Linked DNA regions of Callithrix jacchus. The protein of the gene in region 3 interacts with the protein of the main gene of each other region in a biochemical or structural test. Links are inferred from orthologs where the notes say so. Each region holds a gene or a part of one and is shown on either strand. Other genes may lie near its edges.

Region 1 (4,293 bases), on a different chromosome or scaffold from region 3:
TGCACCACACTTAAATGTACACTAAAAAGCAAAAAGTGTGCCACACTTACTACTCTAGCTGCTTTTACTTGTTCCATAGAGATATGTGAGACAATTTCACTGATCAGATGGAGGGAAAGAGGAGCTCATCTTATTTCAAGCCTGTAGCTGCTGCCACAGCCTCAGCACCATGTTCTAATCATTGAATTCATCATGTAAATCTCTAGCAGATGATACCACTGGAAAACAGAAACTGTCTTGGATCCAGAAACGCTTCCAAATTTTTCCTCTAAAGTTCTTATCTGTGAGCCCAGAGACTGGGGCTGTTTCATTCAATGGGTGAGGCCCATTGGGAAAGCAGCATTCTTCGGGAGACTTCGTAAGGAACTTTCAACCATTCCTTGACTAGATAAATGGCCTTTATCATTTATTTCACGTGAAAGTGCTAAATATTTCGCAACTACTCCAACTTATTTCTGAGTGTCTAAATCTATTCTGAAAAGGATATGCATCACACACATACCTGTGTAGTTTATTAACTACCAATAAGAGCTTATACAAATTGCAGGGGGTATGAAAGAATAGACTTCTGGAATTGTCCAGAAAAGAAAAGGTACATTTCCTGGTTTTAAGAGGAAAGCTCTTGTATAAATTAGAACATTACAGGAGGCTTTTAAATTATCTTAGGGACAAGACCCTTAGGGCATCATCAGTGGTTCCTGGCGAGTCTTTTTTTCCTCCCTGTGATGTTAAGGGGAAGTCCCTAAGACCGGCTTTGCTATTAAAATACAGACATCTGCTGCTCTTCTAATTTTGTTCCGTTTAAAAGGCAGTACTCCCAAGAAACTCTTGGATATTGTGAGAACTAAGATCTGGGGGATGGGGACAGAATCTCTGTCTCCCTAACACATTTATCAGTTCCCTCCCTAGAGCCCCCCTACACCCTCAGCACACACCAGCAGCCCACTCCTCCAAATACGCCCGGGCTGGAAAGATTCATGTTGCAATACCCTTCTGACAATCCTATTCCCGCCCTCATTTTAATTCGCTCCCCTCACCTTTTTTTTTTTTAAACAAAATGTAATTACTTGACTGTCAGCCTGGGCTGCACTCTGGGGCTTTTACTACTTTCAACACAGCTGCGCTCCCGGCTTTGATGCTGCTGTCCACGCAGCTTGTCCCAGCCACAGCCTGGCTCTCGGTAATGTAACATTCAAGTGCGTATTTATTTTTAAACTGACCTCTCCTAGACTGTACAGTATAAAGGAAATCCTGCCAAAAAATATTCTACTTTCTATTTATAAGATGAAACACATGCCTCCCAAAGTCGAGAGGGGGATAGAGCATAATAATTCATAAAGAAAAAATGGCCAGAGCCATTCGTCCTCACATGTCTGATATTTGTCTGTGTCAAGGCACTTAGTTTCAAGGAGAAAGGTCTGGGGAACCCCAAAACCTTGTAAATGTTTCAGCTGTCACGGTCAAAAGACAAAAAAACAAAAAAAGTCAATAGCCAGATCTGCAGGTTGTTGCCCCGCTAACAATGCTCTCCGTTAAGAAAGAAGAGGGCACGGGGCGGGGGGGGGCGATGCCACGGCAGAGCTGTGCGATGCACCCATGTGCGGCTCTGGTTCCAATCCACGACGCGAGGGGCGCGGTAGCGAAGTGAGGCTTGTTCTCCTATGGAAAAATTCTACACGCGGCCAGAATGGCTCTGTCAATAGCTCAGAGGGTGCAATGCGGCCGCGCAGCCCCACCCTTAAAAGTGGTGGGCGCAAATGGAGGAGCCCTACGTTCCGGTGGGGCCGCCCGACCCCCTCCTGGCTTGCTTTACGTTCCCTTCAGTCCTTTGAACATGAGATGGGAAAGCGATGCCCTCGGTATCCAGTCTCTCTGTTGGTTTCCCAGCCTAACACCAGCGCACGCCGGAAAGCGGCCACGGCCGCGGGCGGGACAGACTCACAGACAGGTAGAGAGGAAGGAGTTCTGGGCTCTCCCGACTCACCGGCAGCCGCCGAGGATCTCAACCGCTGCCCGAGCCCCCCACGGGCACAAGCAGAACCAGCCTGCCGGTGCTTGCAGAACCAGCCGGGTGTGCCGGCGCGGCGCGGCGCCTGCTCACCGCATTCTCCGCTCCGAGACGGCGTGAAGGCTCTCCAGGCCCGCGGCCGGGTCTCCGGGTTGGCCCCGCGCCGCGGCCCCTCGGCCGCGAGAGAAGGTGCGCGCGACTGAGCGTTAGGCGGCCGGACGCGAGGACTGAACCTGCGGAGGGCGGGGCAACGCGGGGCGGGGCCGGCGGCGCGGGGCTGGCCCGGGGCGGGGCGGAGCGGAGGGAGCGGAGGGAGCGGAGGGAGCGGGCGGCGGGGCCGACCCTCCCGGACGCGGTACCTGTGCCCTGGCCCGGGGCCAGCAGGCGGCCAGGCGCGCGGGGGGTGGGGGGGGGTCAACGGCGGACCCTCGGAGGACAATGGGCGCCCACTGTTACCTCCCCAGCGCCACCCCCAAGTAGGCGACTTCCCTCAGAGAAGAACCCGCGTTCGGCTCCCTTAGCACAAAGAAAGGTCGCCACACTCCCGGTTTAAAGAAGGACCCCGAGGTGCTGCCGCCCGGGTGCTCGGGGACAATAGGACTCCGCCCGTACCCCGGACTCCCGCAGTAAACCTCGTGCGCCCACCTCTCCCGATCCCAACAAGCCGACCTAGCTGTGCGAGGTTCCGGCGTGGCGGGCGGTGACCCGCAGGGAAGCGAAGCCACCTGAGTGCGCCGCCCCAGCCCGGCCGCAGCTCCCCGGGTCCCTCGCAGCCCGGGCTCCGGTGAGCGCGGAGGGGGAGGGTCGCGTTCTGTCAGTTTCCAGCTCGCTCCCCTAGTAGCTGCAGCCAAAACCCGGAGAGTGGACTTAACGCCCTGGAGATGCCGGAGCTACCGGCTGAGCAGCTGGACACGCGACGAACCGCAGACGCTACAGGTTCTCCAGTTCAGAGGGAGGCGTGTCTTCTCCCTCGGGGTCTTTTAAAGGGATTTGCCTAAAGTAGGGGCAAGCTGTTGGCGGCTGCCCCAGACGCCCGACGAGGCGCAAGTGGTGCAGCTGCCGGCCCGGGAGCGTAAAATTCCGCCCGTGGCGGCACCTGCGCCCGCCGGTCACCCAGACGCCGCCGCCTGGCGCGCCCCTCCCCTCCGCGGGGGCCTGAGCTCGAACCGGGTTAATGAATGCTAATTTTCTTAATCGGTCTCCGTCTCCTCCTCTTCTGAGAGTCGTCGGCCTGTGGAAGGAGTAGGCCACAGGAAAGGGCAGTGTTTTCCGGCTGGGAGGTCCCAGCCCGCAGGATCAGCCTGGGGAAGGGGCTGGGACCCTGGGGAGTCAGACGCTCGGGGTCTGGCCTCTGCCCTAAGACTCTCAGGTTGGATGGAAATCCTGGCACAACGCGGAGAACCTCCCAAGCACCTTGGCTTTGCCGAAAGATATCAGCTTCAGGTCATCACCGCAGTGCCCTGGGTCTATCTGAAACCTTAGAGGGTGCACCTTAAGCCGACGTTGTAAACCCAGGCTGACGTTAAGGTGAAGTGAAAAGGAAACGGACACAACTGTTCTGGAAGCAAAATACTTGGGTGGAGAGTTAAAAGCCTCAAAGAAAAATAATAGTTGGCAGGTCAAATAGCCATGAGGTTAGAAGTCAAATACTAAACTCCGCTGAAGTGATGCTAGAAGTTTGACAAGCAAAACAGTGCGTGAAGATAAGAGACCCAGCATTGTTTCCCTTCTTCAAAAGACAACTGGTCCAAAATTTCCTTTGGCAGATACCTGGATTCTACTCCAGATTCCTGAGCATTTTACTTGGGGCTCATATTTCAAATATGTTCCATTTGGCACTAATGTATATATTTTATATATTAATTTATTGAAAAATATTAAATGTTTCTGGCTTACTTAAAAAATGGTATTTTTATAAATATTTATGCATAGTTTTCATTACATATGGTATAGGTCCAAATAATGTGTGTGTATATATTTATAAAAAACCACATGTAAAATTCCTTTTGAACACATAAAGACATTCCTTCCACGTCTTATATGTAACTTTTTTTCACGTGATCTATTGTTAGCTGCTGTTAAAAGCACTTTATTTCCACATGGCCCAATAAATAACTTCTTTTATAGTTTGTGCAAATATAGAGTGGCAGGTTGTTTGAGGTGGCAGTTTTATTCCAAAACCCTAATTTTACTTTTCTACATTATTCCTTGCCTTTCGGAGGTTTTCTCTCCCTCTGCCATTTTGAAATGAGACTTCTTCACTGCTGGGCTCTAAAGAGTTATCT
Region 2 (4,056 bases), on a different chromosome or scaffold from region 3:
ACTATGGCATAATCCTCAGACTAACATGCTATCATATTGCTTGGGAACTTAAGAAAACGGTGAGACCATTCTCTAATTCTGTCTAGATTATATTCATATATGTGATTCTTTATAATCACTTTTCAATATAACTCTCACCAACTTTAGATTTGAAAAGAAATCTTAAAAATATGTATATGGAGATTCATATAGATACATGAACAAAAATGGTTTGCAGATTTAAACATTTAGCATCCTTGATGGCTGAAAAGGCTACATTCTGTTTCAATTCCATGCATGAATTACCTATAGGAAAGGAATAATGTCATATGATGTGTTTGAGTTTTTTAGAGTTCTATTATAGTCTTTTTCATTCTTGATGAAAGTATAACCTTTGAGAGAATATTTTCTGCAGAACCTAATAAGTGAAATGAATATAACTGATGTTTAAAAAGCCCCTTGCAATTCAAAAAGAATTTTACATGTATTATTTAGTACCTTACAGAACAATCTTCAGGTAGGTATTCCACTTTACACACAACTAAACAGATTCAGAGAGGGTAGGTAATATGTCCAAGGACAAACAGCTGCTTAGTTTGAGCCAGGATGAGAATCTAGACCTTCCAAATCCAGTACTGTCTGCACAAGTTCAATCCAAGATTTTAATATCCCATAGGAAGATTCTTAAAGAAGCTTATTAAAACAGACTTCTGCTGTTAAATCAAACTTTTTAAAATACTGTTTTCCAAACACTTAAAATAATTATTTTAAACTATCATACAGAAGGCATTCCATCAGACAAAGAAAACTGTCAGGAAATGAGTATCATCTCTTACCTAATAAAGTTATCTTAATAAAAAAAAAAAAGTCCTGTGTTTTTAGGCAATGATAACCCGATCGATAACTCAAGTCATATTTGAAAGCAGCCAACACACATTTTAAGAGTTCAGATAAAGATAAGACACGTTCCACGTTTTTACTCTCTTTAAAACTAGTAGGACTTTTTTTTTCCAATTTAACCGTTAACACAATTGGCCCAAACAGGAAAATACATGGCAAAAAATCCAAACCCTATTTCCTTCATACCATCCTATAAAAACGAATTTTCAATGAGAAAACTATACATACAAGTTAGAAGAAAACGAAGGCTGACATTAAACACTGTTCTTTTCTCCAGTGTGTTATTCAATTCCCAAGACATTTCCCTAAAAGACCCTCCACTCCCCCGCAAATGTGTGTGTGTATATGTGTATATATACATGTATATGTGTATATATACATATATATATATGTATGTATGTATATTTGTATGTATTTCCCGAAATATACCTCAGAAATTGCTCTGGCATTTTGGGGAGTCATTTATTAACTACAATTACTTATATTCATTCTTCGGCTACAGCCAGCTAATTAGCAGCTTAAAATCAGCTAAAAGCTTTGTACCACAATAATGCAAAAACGAGCACTACAGAAAATATTCAAGTGGCATTTATTTTTTTAGTCCTAACAATTATTTTTCCTTTCACATTAGTATCACGGAAAAAGCCAATCAATTAGAATTCAAAGGCACTTACTGAGTTATTAAGGTATTCAATAAACCTGTAATGAAGGAATATTAAGGACATAAATACCAATAACTACTTGTTTAAAAAGCACTTGGTGGTTTCCCAAAAAAACAGCCACGTTAAGAATATCAAAATTGTGGGTGGGGGGCAGAAAAAAAAGAATATCAAAATTATAAAAATTAACAGTAAAAATGCAAGTTAAAAAATAGGAGAAACCCTCTTTTCCCCGACACCTAGCAGCATTTCTGATCGTTTTTATCATTTGTAGACACTACACAGTTGCTGGCTACGTAGCAAGTTCTCACAAGAGCAAGGGGGAGGTGGGCTAAATCGACGTCTGCAGACAGTTTTAAAGCTCTTGCAAAACTCCATGTACGTTACAGCACCAAACTGACAAATGCAGCAGATGGCACGCGTTTCACAGAAAGGGGGCTCCCTTCCCGGCTTTGTTTTCTCCGGGAGATTTTATTTTACCTAAACTAAAAAAAAGAGACCCTTTGCCGGAGGGCTGGAGCGGCGAAGTTCGCACAGGGCAGGGGAGGCGGGCACGTGTACGCCTCCTAGCCCCCCGGCGAGGCGAGCGCGTGGCCCTTCCCCGCAGCGGCCGAGCCCGCTCCCTTGCAGAGGGCTCAGGCCCGGACCCCCGAAGTCCCCAGCCCTGGCTGGCCCCCAGAAACTGCTGGGCCGGGACCGGGTCTCCGGGGCACGCCGGGCATGGGGATGCATCTTCAGGGGATTCTCAGGAGGGCGCGGTGAGGATGCGAACCTTCCTCACAGGATTTCAGTCTCACCGGAAACACGCCTTCCAATCCTGACCCCCGAATTCAACCTCCGCCAGAGGGGGAGGAGGGTTGGGGGGGGGCCCTCGCCGGCGCGCGCCCCTCTCAGTGGGGAGAGGACTCCGGGAGGGGGCGGGCCCGCGTCGCCACGCTCCGGGCTGGGCCCAGATGGAGGGAACCGGGCCGGCGTCCCGGAGCGTTGGGGCGGGCGCGGCTGGACCTGTGGGGCTATGAGGAGGCAGCCGGACCCCAGCCTCGCAGGCCAGGACCTGACAGGGCCGCGGCCCCCATGCCCCCTCCCATCGTGCGGCTGCCCCGAGGGGGAATGAGGGAAAGGGAGCAATCTTCCCGAGCGTGCGAGCCGCGCCCACTGGTACTGACCCCTCGGGCCCCCGCCGCTGCTCGCCCAGGTCCCCGGTCTGCCGGCCCCGATCCCGCTCCTCTGCCTCCGCCGCCTCTGCACCTCGGAGAGTCTCTGGCCCCTCTCGCTCTGTTTGTTTTTGTTTTCTTCTACCCAGTAACACGGGGGCGAGAAGGCTGCGCTTATTGGCGGAGGCCCGGTGGCCGGTTGGCCAATCGTAGCGGCGGAGCCGGAGCTGGGGAGGAAAAGGGAGAGGAATGAAACGTGGAAAGTTGGGGAGGGGCGCGGGAGGGCGCATGCGCTTGTGGTTCCTGGGACTGGCTGGAGCGGGAGCTGAGCGGGAAGCCCGGGTGAGGGTACGTTGGGAGGCGTGGCGGGATGGGAGCGTCGGCCCACGGGCAGTGCTGGGGAATGGGGACAAAGAAGCTCCCCAGACCCAGCGCACCCATTCTCCTCGCACGGCGTGCTGCAAACTCAGCTGAAGCAAAGATTTTCAGCTTCCTGACGGTCCCTGCCTCCATTTCTAGACACTCCCAAGTGTTCAGCCTGTCGGATTCCTTCTCCCTCTGGCCCCTGCTCTCTCCAGGGAGAGTTTCTGCAGATCCCATAACTAAGAAGTTACTCTCAGCGAATCCCCTCAACCCTTTGAGATAGAAATCATTCCCATTTTACAGATATAAGACAGGCTCAAAAACTCTTTGAAGTCGCTTTGCTAATCATGACTAGCCAAGCCTCTGGTGTTCAAACGCACACATTCTGGACTCCCGTGCTGGGGTTCTGGGCCATGGCTACAATCTCTGTATTGAAATTCCCAGGTCCCCTGGCTGTTCTCTGTGACCTTTCGTCTTGGCTGCGTTCGTTTTGGCTGGTCCTTTCCGTATTCTTTCTCGGTCGCTGTCCCCTGAGGTAATAACCAGAACCTTGTGCTCCCTCTGCTCCCAGGAGGGGACTTAACCACTTACCTCTGATCAGATTTTCCAGTTGTTTGATGGGTCACACATGAATGATTGCTTGGTCTCTCCAGAACCCAACTGTCTTAATTCCGCACAAGCCACGCCTTACCCTGGCTACCCAGTCACCCTGCCTGGGAATCATCTCTAATGCTACTATTTCTCTGCACAAAACAAAACAAAACAATAAACCTTCATTGTCTTCCCATTGCCTCTCTTGAGTGTCAGCACCCGGGTCGGTCATTCAAGGCTCCACTATGTGACTTTAAGACTTTCAGGCTGTGTCTCCACATCTCCCTACATGCTTCCCCACCCGCTGCTAGTTTTGTTTGTTTGTTTGTTTTGAGACGGAGTTTCGCGCTTGTTACCCAGGCTGGAGTGCAATGGTGCGATCTCGGCTCACCGCAACCTCCGCCTCCTGG
Region 3 (3,500 bases):
TGGAAGCTAGGGCTACAGTTTTCCACAGAAAGGAGTCATCTCCGTGAGGCAGTGTCGGCCTCCAAGACAGCATGCTGACCTGGTTTTGTATAAAGATGAAAACAGCTGTTCTCAACCGGCTAAGGCCAGCCACGCAGAGAGCTGCACAGGACTGTCCTTCCACTAAAGGGTGGGGCTTTAGTCACCGCAGAAGGGAAGTGGGGGCTGAAGGCCAGGAAAAATAGAAGCACTAATTCACCCTTCAGGCCTCAGCTAGAGGAAGCTAAGAGAAGAAATGAGATTGCATCATTGTTAAGAAAAAAGCAGAGCAGGAGACAAGGCAGAGGATTCTGGGCCCTGGAGAGAACTTTTAGACTCAGTTGGATTTGCTCCTGGAATGCTCTAGAATGGGCCCGGCATTGATTGTTGTGTTGACTGTTCTAGCCCCAGCAGGCAGCGCTCCATCCTTTGGAGGACCAGCTTTCGAGTCTGCGCTAGAATAGATGCACAGCTTTAATGCCTAAGTTCTCAAACAAGGCTTGGAACGTTGCTGTGTGTGAAAGGTGCTACGGTGTCTGGCTGGCACTGTGTGGGACTTGGCGGAAAATCAGGAAACATCTGGACCTCAGGGCTCCTCAGTTTTCCATAGTGAAGCAGTCTCCTTGCCCCTTGTATCCCAAGGAGCCACAGGGTGGCAGAAACGCAAATAGAGCTGATGAGGAAGGCCTTATCTATGTGTGTTTGCTCCCCAAGCTCAGAGAAAGAGCAAACTGCCCTGCTCTATTCCAGGGATAGAGATCCCACCTATAGTTCATGGGCTCTATTCTCTGTTTCATGAACAGGAAAATGTTCCTTTCCATTTGCCTGGCACTGAATGGAAAGCAGGATGACTAATAGGTTCAGTGATGAACTCCTTTTTTTTTTTTTTTTTTTTTGAGATGGAGTCTTACTCTGTCACCAGGCTGGAGTGCAGTGGCGCGATTTGGCAAACTCCACCTCCCAGGTTCAAGCAGTGATGGATTTATTTTCAGTAGGGCTTAGAAACAGGACTTTTCAGAACCTGGGGTGAAAGCAGGTATCAGGGAGGACAGGGCATTAAGTCCCGGAGTGCTTTTAGCTTCCTCATTAGAGGGCAGATGCTGGTGTGTTTCACTGTCTGCAACAGTGGTTATGCTCAGCCCTGGGGGTGCCTTACCCCGGACCACTTGAACTTGAATCCTTGGGGTCAAAGAGCAGTGAGGTGAGGCCTGGGCAGTGCTATCTTTAAAAGCTCCTCAAGGAAATCTAATGGACAGTCAGGGTTAAGAACCACTGGCCCAAAGCTTTGAGTTCACAATCACAAAAACACACAGGGCAGGAGGATCGTTTAAGCTGGGAGGTTGAGGATACATCCAGCCTGAGTGACAGAGGGAGACACTGTCTCAAAGAAAAGAAAGGAAAAAACTACAAAGTCACATCAAGAGACGATGTGCTGCTCTTGGCAGAAGCTGGTACAGAACAGTACACAGTGGCTCCTGCAAAGGTTCTGGCTTTGGACATCAGGCTGAGAAAACCCTGGGTTCTCTGTGGAGAAGAGAGAGGAGTCCAAGGGATGTCCCGCCCGCCCACAGGGACACTGCGCACAGGGACTCTTGACCTTGGCTCTCGAGCCAGCTGGCCTCTGGAGCTCCCACTTGGTGGTCCTGATGGTGGCCTCGCCGTGCACCACCTGGGAGGCCCTCCCCGTCTGTAAGATCTCCAGGAGGGTGGACTTGCCCTGGCGCGGGGGACCCACGATGATCATCTTCATCAGCTTGCACCTCTCTGCTTTCCGCAGCTGAGCTCGTAAGTAAGACAGCATTGCTTTGGGGCCTGTGCAGAATCATAAAGGGGAAAGGTAGGTGCATGGGAACATGCTCACTTCTCTTAGAACACAAAATCCTGTCGTGAAGAAACTTTCTTTGTGTTCTGATGGGGACAGTTAAGGAACATTGGAGCAGGTGGAGGGAAGGAGTGACACTAATCACCCCGAAAGTGAAGTCTCAAAGGCAAGAACCTATAGACAAAGCCCTTGCTGCCTAGGAGGTCCCAGGTTTATCACCTGGCCATTCTCAATATAGTGACCCTCAGTAATGACTGCTTTAGGGACAATTTTATAGCATCTTGCCAAACCTGGAACCTGGAGGTGGGCTCCATAGGTCACCAACTGTTTCTACCCCCAGAACTTAACTAGTGGACTTGAGTTGTCTTTCCAAGGTGATGGCAGGGGACAGAGCTGTGGATGCCCTACCTTCTTTTCGGATTTCTGCAGGCACATTGCTGATGGTCAGGTCTTCAGTGTCCAGCTGCCAGAGGTTGCCCAGCTGCCCCAGCTCAGGAGGGAGCTCCCGGAGGCCAGGGTTGCTGAAGACACGTGTGCCCATCACGAGAGAATACAGGTGTGTCCAGACCATGCACGTAAACACACACACGCACACACACATACACACACGCACACACGCGCACGCATGTACACGCAAGCACACATATGCACGCACACACACATACACACATGACTTCTGTCAGCCTCTGCAGCCTGCTGAGGCCACTGACAGCCTGCACCCCAAAACCCGCACCTCAGGACCTGATTTCAACACTAATTCCAAAGCCTTTCTCCCTGAAGGGTCAGTGGTAGAAAGGGCAGCGCTATCTTCTGCAAATCCCCATGGCTTAGAATTGAGTCCCCTCCTCCAGCTTCCCTGTCTCTGCTACCAACTACATCACCATAGAGATGATCACTACCTCTTCTTGAAGAGGCGATGTCACTTTAATATTGATATAACATTTTACATTTTCATCAAGGTGTGCACACTGCCTAGAAGCCCTGGCAGTAGCTGGCATGCAATGAAAGCTCAGTAATGAAAGGATGGATGACCGAGTGCTTCTCCTCATCACAGCCCGAGTGCTGCAGCTAACGTGCGTCTCATCCCATCGCTGCCCCATCTTCCTTTCTCCCTCCCACCTTGATCAAGCCCTGTTCTGAAAAATCCCACTGCTGCTTCTTGAAGAGTCAATGGCTTCTTTCTGCCTGGCTTTCTGTGTCCCAGCTGGTTTAGGGATGGGCACTGTGCCTCACTGGGTCAGCAGCCAGCACGGCCCCTCCAGATGAGTACTTACTTCCCCAAGTAGAGCTCTGATAGGCTCTTCAGCAGGCAAACCGAGGGAGGGACTGTGTCAAGGTGGTTGTCGTTCAGGCAAAGGACTTCCAAAGAGTCACTCAGGAAGGCTGGAAATTCCAGTACACATGCTGCAAAGACATGGCAAAGCAGACTGCATTTAAAAAGCATTCTGGGCCATCACAGCGTGGTGGCCAGGTGGGTGTATAAACTGATGCAACCTCCAGAGGGCATTCTGGCAAACCTAGCGAACCAAATGCTCACCTCATCAACCTAGTGATTCTAATTCTATGGACATCCTTGCATGCATGTGTGGCAAAGATGTGAGGAGGAGGACACTCAGTGGCAGAGACAGAGGACAACCTATGACAACCTATGAGCTCAACC
Region 4 (3,935 bases), on a different chromosome or scaffold from region 3:
CAGCAGTATATCCAAGAATTCCGGGATGGGAAGGGACTTGGAATAACCACCTGATCCATCTCATTGCAATTTTCTTTTTCCCAAGATGGAGTGCAGGATAGAGTGCAGTGGCCCAATCTTGGGTCACTGCAACCTCCACCTCCTGGGTTCAAGCAATTCTCCTGACTCAGCCTCCTGAGTAACTGAGAAAAGGCACGTGCCATTATTCCCAGCTAAATTTTTTTATTTCTAGTAGAGACGGGGTTTTACCATGTTGGTCAGGCTGGGATTGCTTTGTATTTCTAGTAGAGATGGGGTTTCACCATGTTGGTCAGGCTCTAAAATATCTGGAATTACACAGGCATGAGCCACCGCACTGGCCCCCAAAGTTAGGGGGAGATCACAGGCTGAGTGACCTGGGGGTGGCGGGGAGGGTGGAGCAGGGATGGAGTGGTCCCATCTTGCCCTCTCTACAAATAATTGGGGAAAATAATGCAACATCAAAATGCATGGAAAAAATACTTGAGCACTTTGGTATGCATTTTGCTGTATGTATGTAACATCTTGATTTTAAAAAGAAATATATATATATATATATATATATATATATATATATATATATATATATATATTGAACTCTAGTGATCCTTTAGCCAAGGAATACCAAAACTGAGAAGACAGGCTTTTTTCCCTAATTATTTAGAACATTGTTCACGTAAAGCCAACAGTTTTGGGCAATCTCTCAGTGGGTTTCCTGTCAAACCACCTGGATTCCACCATCTTGCTAATTGCCACATCCACTTCCTTACACGTTATTTACACCTGGACTCCCTTCAAAAAGGCTCTGAACCAGCCGGGCGCAGTAGCTCACGCCTGTAATCCCGGCACTTTGAGAGGCCAAGGCAAGTAGATCAAGAGGTCAGGAGTTCAAGTCCAGCCTGGCCAACATGGTGAAACCCCATCTCTACTAAAAATACAAAAATGAGTCCAGCCTTGTGTTGCGCGTCTGTAATCCCAGCTACTCGGAGGCTGAGGCAGGAGAACTGCTTGAACCCAGGAGGTGGAGGTTGCAGTGAGCTGAGATCGCGCCACTGCACTCTAGCCTGGGCAACATAGGAGGGTTCCGTCACCAGGAAAAAAAAAAAAAAAAAAGGCTCTGAACCTAGTACTCTATTAAGACAGTAAGAGTGGCCCTGTTTGCTGCCAGGAAGCTGTGATATCTGGGGAGGAAAAGAGCGAGGGAGGCAGAGCTGGGATTCTGTATGCATTTCGTTCCCCATTCCCTTAAAAAATGATTTTTAAATGTTTTGGTCCCGACTTTCAGCAAACAGAATGAGGAAGCTGAAAGCCTCAGGCGAGCCTGCCCTGGGGAACCCTGGCCACCTTTCCCTGCCCTCCGGCGCAGGCGCCTCCCACACCGGCAGTACCTGGGGGAGCCGCCTGAGGATGAGGCAGACATGGCTAGGCATCAAAGCCGCAAAGTGGGCAACTGGGTCAGCAGGCTCTGCTCAGGGGGACCCAGAGCGGGCAGGCTTGTCAATGAGCCTCTCAAGGGGCCCGGCATCAAACGTCCTCTCTGAGGGGAGGAGGGTGGAAGCTTTGGGGGTGGCAGTTGGATGAAAACTTGGGAGGCGCTCCTCTACTGTCCAAGTCACACAGCAACTGTCCTGCCAAAGTAGGGGGAGACAGGAGAGGCTGAGCGACAAGGAAGCAGCGGAGAGGGAGGGGAGGGAACCGGCGCAATGGCGAGGGAAAGGATCTCCGCGCCCGGGCCCCACGGGAAGGGCGGCCGGTGGCTACCGGGGGAAACCTGAGGCGCCGGCGGGCGTGTGGAGAGTGAGGGTGAGAACCGCTTGGCCCCAAGTGGGCCGGACCCGCGCAGGGAGCCGCGGAGATGCTGGGCGGGGTCGGGCAACAGTTTCCTAGGAGAAGGGGCGTTCCCGGAAGAACAGGTGCCCGAGAGGACCAATAGTGTTTGAAGGAGCGAGGCGCGGAGGTGCGCCGGGGCCGGGCGCCCAGCCGCGAGGGAAAACCGAAACACCGAGTTCCGAGCGGGTTAGACGCCAGGCTGAGAGGGGGCGGGCGGGACCCGCCGGGCGAGGGCCCCGGAGACCCGGAGACGGTGCCCGGGGACAGCGCTGCCTACGGTGGGCGGGCAAGTGACTGCCGTGCGGAGGCCCGCGGGGAGGACGAGGCGGATGCCGAGATGCCGCCGGCAGGCAGCAGAGCGAGGGACAGCGTCGGTCGGCGGAGAGAAAGGACGGCCACCAACCAGCGGGCAGGAAGGGACCGGTTTCTGCCCATATGGAGAAGGACGAAGCCCTGGCCGTGAGCGGCAGAGGAGGGGCAGAGCCCCGCGGTGGCCAGGAGAGAGGAGAAGGAGGCGGCCGGCCGCCCGTTAGCGCAAGGAGGAGAGTCCCCGCGCCGGTGGGGGGGGGCGGGGGGGGCCAGGTTCTGACAGGAGGGGGACGGGCGCGACGCGGCTGGGGGCCCAGGACCCGACGGCCCTACCGGGCCGACCCCGCCGAGGGTGCGAAGGGGACTGTCTCGCCCGGGAGCGCCCTGGATCCCGCCAGCCAGCGGCCTCTCACCAGGAGCGACACGGCTGAGCCCAGAAACGCCGCCTTATGAAGTCGTTGAAGTCGGAGGCCAGGGCCGTGCCATGGAGACGCCGCGGCGGATGTAGTCCGGCTCTGGCGGCGGCTCCTCCCCGCTTCCGCCTCCTTTTCCGACACCCGGTCGGCACCTCGCCCATTGGCCAGTTCAAACCCCCTCGGGAGCCGCTTGGGTTTCGCCATCGAGGCCCAGCCCCTGGCGTCACAGAGATGCCCCGCCCCACCAGTGGCACCGCCCACTTCCGGGCCACGCGTCTCGTCACCAAGGAGATGTAGACGCATCCAGCCTGCCTTACCGGGTCTCGGCCCGCATTCAAGGGCTTCCCAGCTCGGCCGTTTCCCCTGCCTCGGGTCCTCCCGGATTCCCCTGACTCAAAGGAACGTAGGGCTCCGACGCGCTCCCCTCGGTACCCACCGAGAAACTAGGCTCACAGCGGAGCCACAGAACAAGTTACTGCGAACTGCACACTGCCTCCGGAAATCCAGCCCTGCCCCAGCCCACTATTAGTGCAGGGATGGAGTCGGTTTCTGCCAATTCCCTGGCCTCGCTCCCCTGCCCACATCGCCTCTGTCTTGACCCCAAAAGGAGGAAGGATCGGCATTCCCCTTGCTCTTCACTACCCTCCTGCACTCTGCTGCTCTGTGTACAGACCTATTCTGATGAGGTCCTCGCTGGGCTGCCATCTTCTCAATTATGCTTCTCAGCCAGTCTTGGGAGGTCTGTCACGTGGCTCATAATGCCGCCCTGGAATCTTGGAGACTTTAACAACCTCGGAGCCAACCGGGCCACAGTCCCTTGACCTTTCTCCAGTGACCTCGCAGCACCTCAGCCACACACCTCCAGGGTCACACAAGTGTTTCACCTGAAATCCTAAAGTCAAACTCCCCTCCCAAACAAAACCTGCTTTTCTGCTTGGCTTTCACAGTATACTGCATACTGTATTCTGTAATGTCAGGGAGCTCCCTGATCCCTTGGTCCATTCATTGTCGCTCTGTCGAATAATTGAGAGTTTTTTTTTTTTTAAGACGGGGTTTCACCATGTTGGTCAGGCTGGTCTTGAACTCCTGACCTCTGGTGATCCTCCCACCTTGGCCTCCAAAGTGCTTGGATTACAGGCATGAGCCACCACGCCCGGCCTTGAGAGATTTCTTAATCCTCATTATAACTCAACTCCGTTGAGTTATATTTAAAGACTGAAAAGATCAAATCTGCAGATCACTCCTCCACCCTCAGCTGAGCCCCACACACTATCCAGGAACGTCTATTTGTCCCTAGACTCCTCCTGATGGTGGTTTTTCCAAACCGTTGCCTCTTCCCCATCCCATACTCTAATTCTCCTG
Region 5 (4,078 bases), on a different chromosome or scaffold from region 3:
GTTTACACAAGAACATGACTTGTTACTAAACTAAAACACGAACCACTATTATTAACTCTGTATTTTCCTGGTAAGCAATGAATATCAACATTAAAAGTATTTCAACAAATATGACAAGCCACCCTCAGAGCGCAAAGTTGGCAAATAAAATTGACACCACAGCACAATCTGAAAACTATAAGCAACTATTAAACACACACACACACCACCGCACCCATTCTTATGTAAACTTTTGGAGTAAGTCAACTTTGTGAGTCTCACCTTTGTTTTCACCTAGCAAGAGAGTTAAAGATGAGACAACAATTGTAAAAAGCCAGAAGAACAAAAGATTCAGTTAATGTCCCCATAGGGGAAACGACTAAAATTTTTAAACGTTACTGTATTTAAGTAATCGAAGGGCAGGGCAGTTCCCCAAGCTACAGCCATTTTAGATTCAGACTTTCTTTTGAATTTCTCGGGTTGAGGAGAAGTAGATTTAAGACGAGAAAAAAAATAACACTCTTAAAACATTTCAGGATTTCCCCCGCAACCCCCGCAAGGGAAGGGGGTTGGAAAATATTGGATAGACTCAATCTAAACGAAAACACCTCGCTACCACGGAGAACCGGAATGCTGGGGGTTAACTTTTTTCCCCTAAAATATCCAACATTTGACTTACACTTTTTCCTCCTTAGGTTTTTCTTTGAAGGAAAACAAAAGCTCTTAGCTCTCATTTCAAGAGGGAAAGAAAAAAACCCGTAAACCAAGTCCCTCAACCGGCACCAAGCCGGATCGTCTGGAGAGGAGCCAAAAAGCCGCAGGTGAGCGTTCCGACCCGACGACCAAAGTTAAAGTAGCAGCGCTTACGCAGAGCCCCGGCAACGCTCGCGTGCAAAGCTCTAAGCACTGCGGTGGCGGGAGTGCCCCGTTCGAACCAGTTGACCCGTGGGCTCCGCTCGCCCCTCTCGGGTAGGACCTACAACCAACCACCTGTGTGAGAGCTTCTTTAACCTAGTTTTAACAGCCGGTTGGTTAGGCACCGGGCGGAGCCCCGCGCCGGAACGACTCCAAGATCTCCTACTGCCCCGTTGTCCCCAACTCCCACTCACCGTGCAGCGGTGGGGCTACGACCAGGGACGAGACGCGGCGTCTAAGGACGCGTCCCCAGCTTGTCGACCCGGCAGAGGCGGCTAGCCCACAACCATAACAAAGCTCTTCCCAAAATGGCTGCCCAGCCCACAAGACCCAGGAGGGGCAGAGCGGGTGGAGGAGGAGGAGGAGCGACGAGCAGCATGGCCCTCCCGTCCCCCGTCCGACCCCGCCTTACACACGCCCACCTGAAGGAGCGCATGCGCGCGGGACCTGCCCCGCCAACACTGCCGGAGAGACGCTCGCGCCCCGAGCTGCCAACGTTCGGCTTCCAGAACGGCGGTTATGCCCTGCCCTGCCCCTGGCTCCCTTCCTCGCCGCTGGAGGCGGCGCGTGGTCGCCTCCGCCTCCTACAGAGTTGAATCCTCTGCCTTTCCTCGTGCCGCCTGAAGCAAGGACAAGCCTAATTTAGTACGCCCCTTCTAACCCCCCTGCCCACTTTCAGGGCCTGAGCGCGTATGAATGAGTGGGTGGGTATGTATGTGTGTATTCCTTCTTTCTTCACCTTCCCACAGCCCTCCCGTGGGCCGGTACGCGTCCCGAAACTACCTCTACAAGGACTTGCAAACCGGTTTCGGAGGAACGTGTGTTTTTCAGCCCTTTCCCACCTTCCGCTCCTTCCTTCACGTGTGCGTGTCGTTGAGACTCCAGTCCCCAGCAGCCCACACGGCCTTGCTCCGGAGGCTGCGCGGCTGGGTGAGCCGCGCAACCCACTGGGAGTAGTAGTTCCCTGGGAGCGCAAGCGTCATGCCCCGCCCCAGCGCAGGGCGGGCTTTTGGCTAGAGTCTGCGCCAGTGACAGTGCCGTTTCTTCTACCTTAAGTCTCATTGGGTATCGCACTACTGGAAGGGGCGGCGGTGCCATGACAGAGAAGGCAATAAAAACTGAAGGCCTACCTCTACTAAAAGCGCTATTAGCGAACACTTTGCTGTGGCTCCTTCCGGCACGGAACACTAAACCATGTGATGGGTGGCAACCAGGAAGCTACACTACGTAGAATCCAGAGGAATGGAGGGGCTGGCCGGCGTGGGCCCCTGAGATACATGTCTTCAGCTTTATCCATATACACGGAAGGACACTCAGATTGCCTAGTGCCATTTCCTGTGAAACAAATCCAGATAAGAGAAGGGACTTGCCCAAGGTCACATAGCGGAGAAATAAAGCCGCGGGCAGCAGGAGAAATGATCTGACTTTCCGCACCACCCCCAAGCCCAGGGCTCTTATCACCACACCTTTCATGGAAGTAAAAATCCTGCTCTTGTGCTATTTAATCCTTAATGAAGTTTCTATCTCCTAGCAAAGAAAATAAATGTAATAATTGGGCTTTTTTCTTCCTTTAACTAATAGTAAAGGGCCGTAATGCGGAGTGACATGGGCCCCATAGGTCTTATAACCCTGTTTTGCAAAGTAAAAAATAAATTCCACAGATGACAAGCAATTTGGCCAGGTCACTCTGGGCCTAAAATCCCGTCTCTTACCTTCCTTCACCACCATCATTCTGAGATTGTTTCAGTACTTGCACTCTACCTTCTCGAACTCTGTGGGCAGATTCTGCTGCCTGGGAGCCATGAAACAGAAAGTCAAGAACCGTTCAGGTACCTTGTTCAACATCTGGCTTCAACTAGAAATTGAGAATGGCCCCCAAACAGAAAGCCGGGCGTAGGAACCAGTTAGCGCAGGGTAAGGCCCTACCCGGACTTATTTTCTTTTGAGTCCTCAGGAAGCAGGGGGCTTTCTCTGATTCCACTTGCCGGAAGTGTCTTTCCAGGGAGACATGGGCTGTTTTCTTGCTGCTGTGTTCCATCTCTCTGTGCAACACTGGTAAATCTCAAAGCCGCCACAGATACAGGGTGGGATGGGAGGCACCAAGGGTTGGTAGTAAATTGGAGACGCGGGTACTGTAGGGCAAGGTTTCCCGAAGACACTGGCGTCTAAACTCCTCCCCCCTTTCTCAGAGGTCTTTTTGAAGCTGGCAGTTGCAGTCTTCCTATTAGGGCAATGGGCATATTGCTCTTTCATCCAAATTAGGAGGATTAACCTTTGAGTCTCAGTCCTTAATCCCCTCATCACCTGCCGTCGCTGGACTTTAGGTTATCACGTTTTTATACCCATTAATTGGAAAGCATGTGCTACAGAGGATAGGGCGTTTCCAAAGGTGGGGGAATGGTTGAGATTTTAAATGAAGTGGTCTGGAAAGTCTTAACGAAGAAACTGATTTTGACAAAAGTGATGGGTACACTCTGCGGGCATTTTGGTCTGGGGCTCAGGTGGGTGGGTGTGGATGTGATCTAACTTACCTGTTCCTTTAGAATGAAGACATTCACTGGTATACAGGGTTTCTTGACCCAACCCTAAGATATGTGGATCTGTGATCAATAAATTAGTTCAATTTTTTTTTTTTTTGAGATGGAGTCTCGCACTGTCGCCTGGGCTGGAGTGCAGTGGCATGATCTTGGCTCATTGCAACCTCCGCCTCTCAAGTTCAAGAGATTCTCCTTTGTCAGCCTCCCAAGTAGCTGGGATTACAGGCACCCGCCACCACGCCCTGCTAATATTTTGTATCTTTTTTTTTGTTGTTTTGTTTTTTTGATTTTTTGTTTTTTACTTCCTCTAACATGAATCATAGGAAACAAATTTTTTGTATCTTTAGTAGAGACGGGTTTCACTATGTTGGCCAGCTGGTCTCGAACTCCTGACCTCGTGATCCGCCTGCCTCAGCTGCCCAAAGTGTTGGGATTACAGGGGTGAGCCACCGCGCCGGCCCAATCGATTTTTTTATTTTTTTTAATTAATTTATTTATTTTTGAGGCGGTTTCGCTGTTGTTACCCAGACTGGAGTGCAATGGCACGATCTTGGCTCACCGCAACCTCTGCCTTCTGGGTTCAAGCAATTCTCCTGCCTCAGCCTCCCGAGTAGCTGGGACTACAGGCACGCACCACCATGCCCAGC

Evidence for each region.
Region 1: the proteins of LRRK1 (region 3) and CDC42EP3 form a complex in vitro, tested with the Homo sapiens proteins (2 studies listed by BioGRID and IntAct, with this or other methods). The link is inferred for Callithrix jacchus from reciprocal best matches to the Homo sapiens genes LRRK1 and CDC42EP3.
Region 2: the proteins of LRRK1 (region 3) and PDCD4 form a complex in vitro, tested with the Homo sapiens proteins (2 studies listed by BioGRID and IntAct, with this or other methods). The link is inferred for Callithrix jacchus from reciprocal best matches to the Homo sapiens genes LRRK1 and PDCD4.
Region 4: the proteins of LRRK1 (region 3) and ODF2 form a complex in vitro, tested with the Homo sapiens proteins (2 studies listed by BioGRID and IntAct, with this or other methods). The link is inferred for Callithrix jacchus from reciprocal best matches to the Homo sapiens genes LRRK1 and ODF2.
Region 5: the proteins of LRRK1 (region 3) and GPBP1L1 form a complex in vitro, tested with the Homo sapiens proteins (2 studies listed by BioGRID and IntAct, with this or other methods). The link is inferred for Callithrix jacchus from reciprocal best matches to the Homo sapiens genes LRRK1 and GPBP1L1.

The regions. Positions count from the first base shown.
Region 1 is NC_133515.1:77,292,325-77,296,617, reverse strand, and holds the start of CDC42EP3 (cdc42 effector protein 3), read right to left. Parts: upstream 2,801-4,293; 5' UTR 2,654-2,800; intron 2,210-2,653; exon of another isoform or gene 1,985-2,209; intron 1-1,984.
Region 2 is NC_133513.1:103,813,872-103,817,927, reverse strand, and holds the start of PDCD4 (programmed cell death protein 4), read right to left. Parts: upstream 2,801-4,056; 5' UTR 2,705-2,800; intron 1,579-2,704; 5' UTR 1,554-1,578; intron 1-1,553. UniProt on the Homo sapiens protein: Inhibits translation initiation and cap-dependent translation. May excert its function by hindering the interaction between EIF4A1 and EIF4G. Inhibits the helicase activity of EIF4A. Modulates the activation of JUN kinase.
Region 3 is NC_133507.1:8,959,950-8,963,449, forward strand, and holds part of LRRK1 (leucine-rich repeat serine/threonine-protein kinase 1), read right to left. Parts: intron 3,245-3,500; coding exon 3,115-3,244; intron 2,362-3,114; coding exon 2,249-2,361; intron 1,831-2,248; coding exon 1,616-1,830; intron 1-1,615.
Region 4 is NC_133502.1:177,055,086-177,059,020, reverse strand, and holds the start of ODF2 (outer dense fiber protein 2), read right to left. Parts: upstream 2,801-3,935; 5' UTR 2,735-2,800; coding exon 2,571-2,734; intron 2,401-2,570; exon of another isoform or gene 1,780-2,400; intron 1,647-1,779; exon of another isoform or gene 1,439-1,646; coding exon of another isoform or gene 1,407-1,438; intron 1-1,406. UniProt on the Homo sapiens protein: Seems to be a major component of sperm tail outer dense fibers (ODF).
Region 5 is NC_133508.1:82,433,896-82,437,973, forward strand, and holds the start of GPBP1L1 (vasculin-like protein 1), read right to left. Parts: upstream 2,801-4,078; 5' UTR 2,607-2,800; intron 2,230-2,606; 5' UTR 2,025-2,229; intron 1,844-2,024; exon of another isoform or gene 1,634-1,843; intron 1,212-1,633; exon of another isoform or gene 659-1,211; intron 1-658. UniProt on the Homo sapiens protein: Possible transcription factor.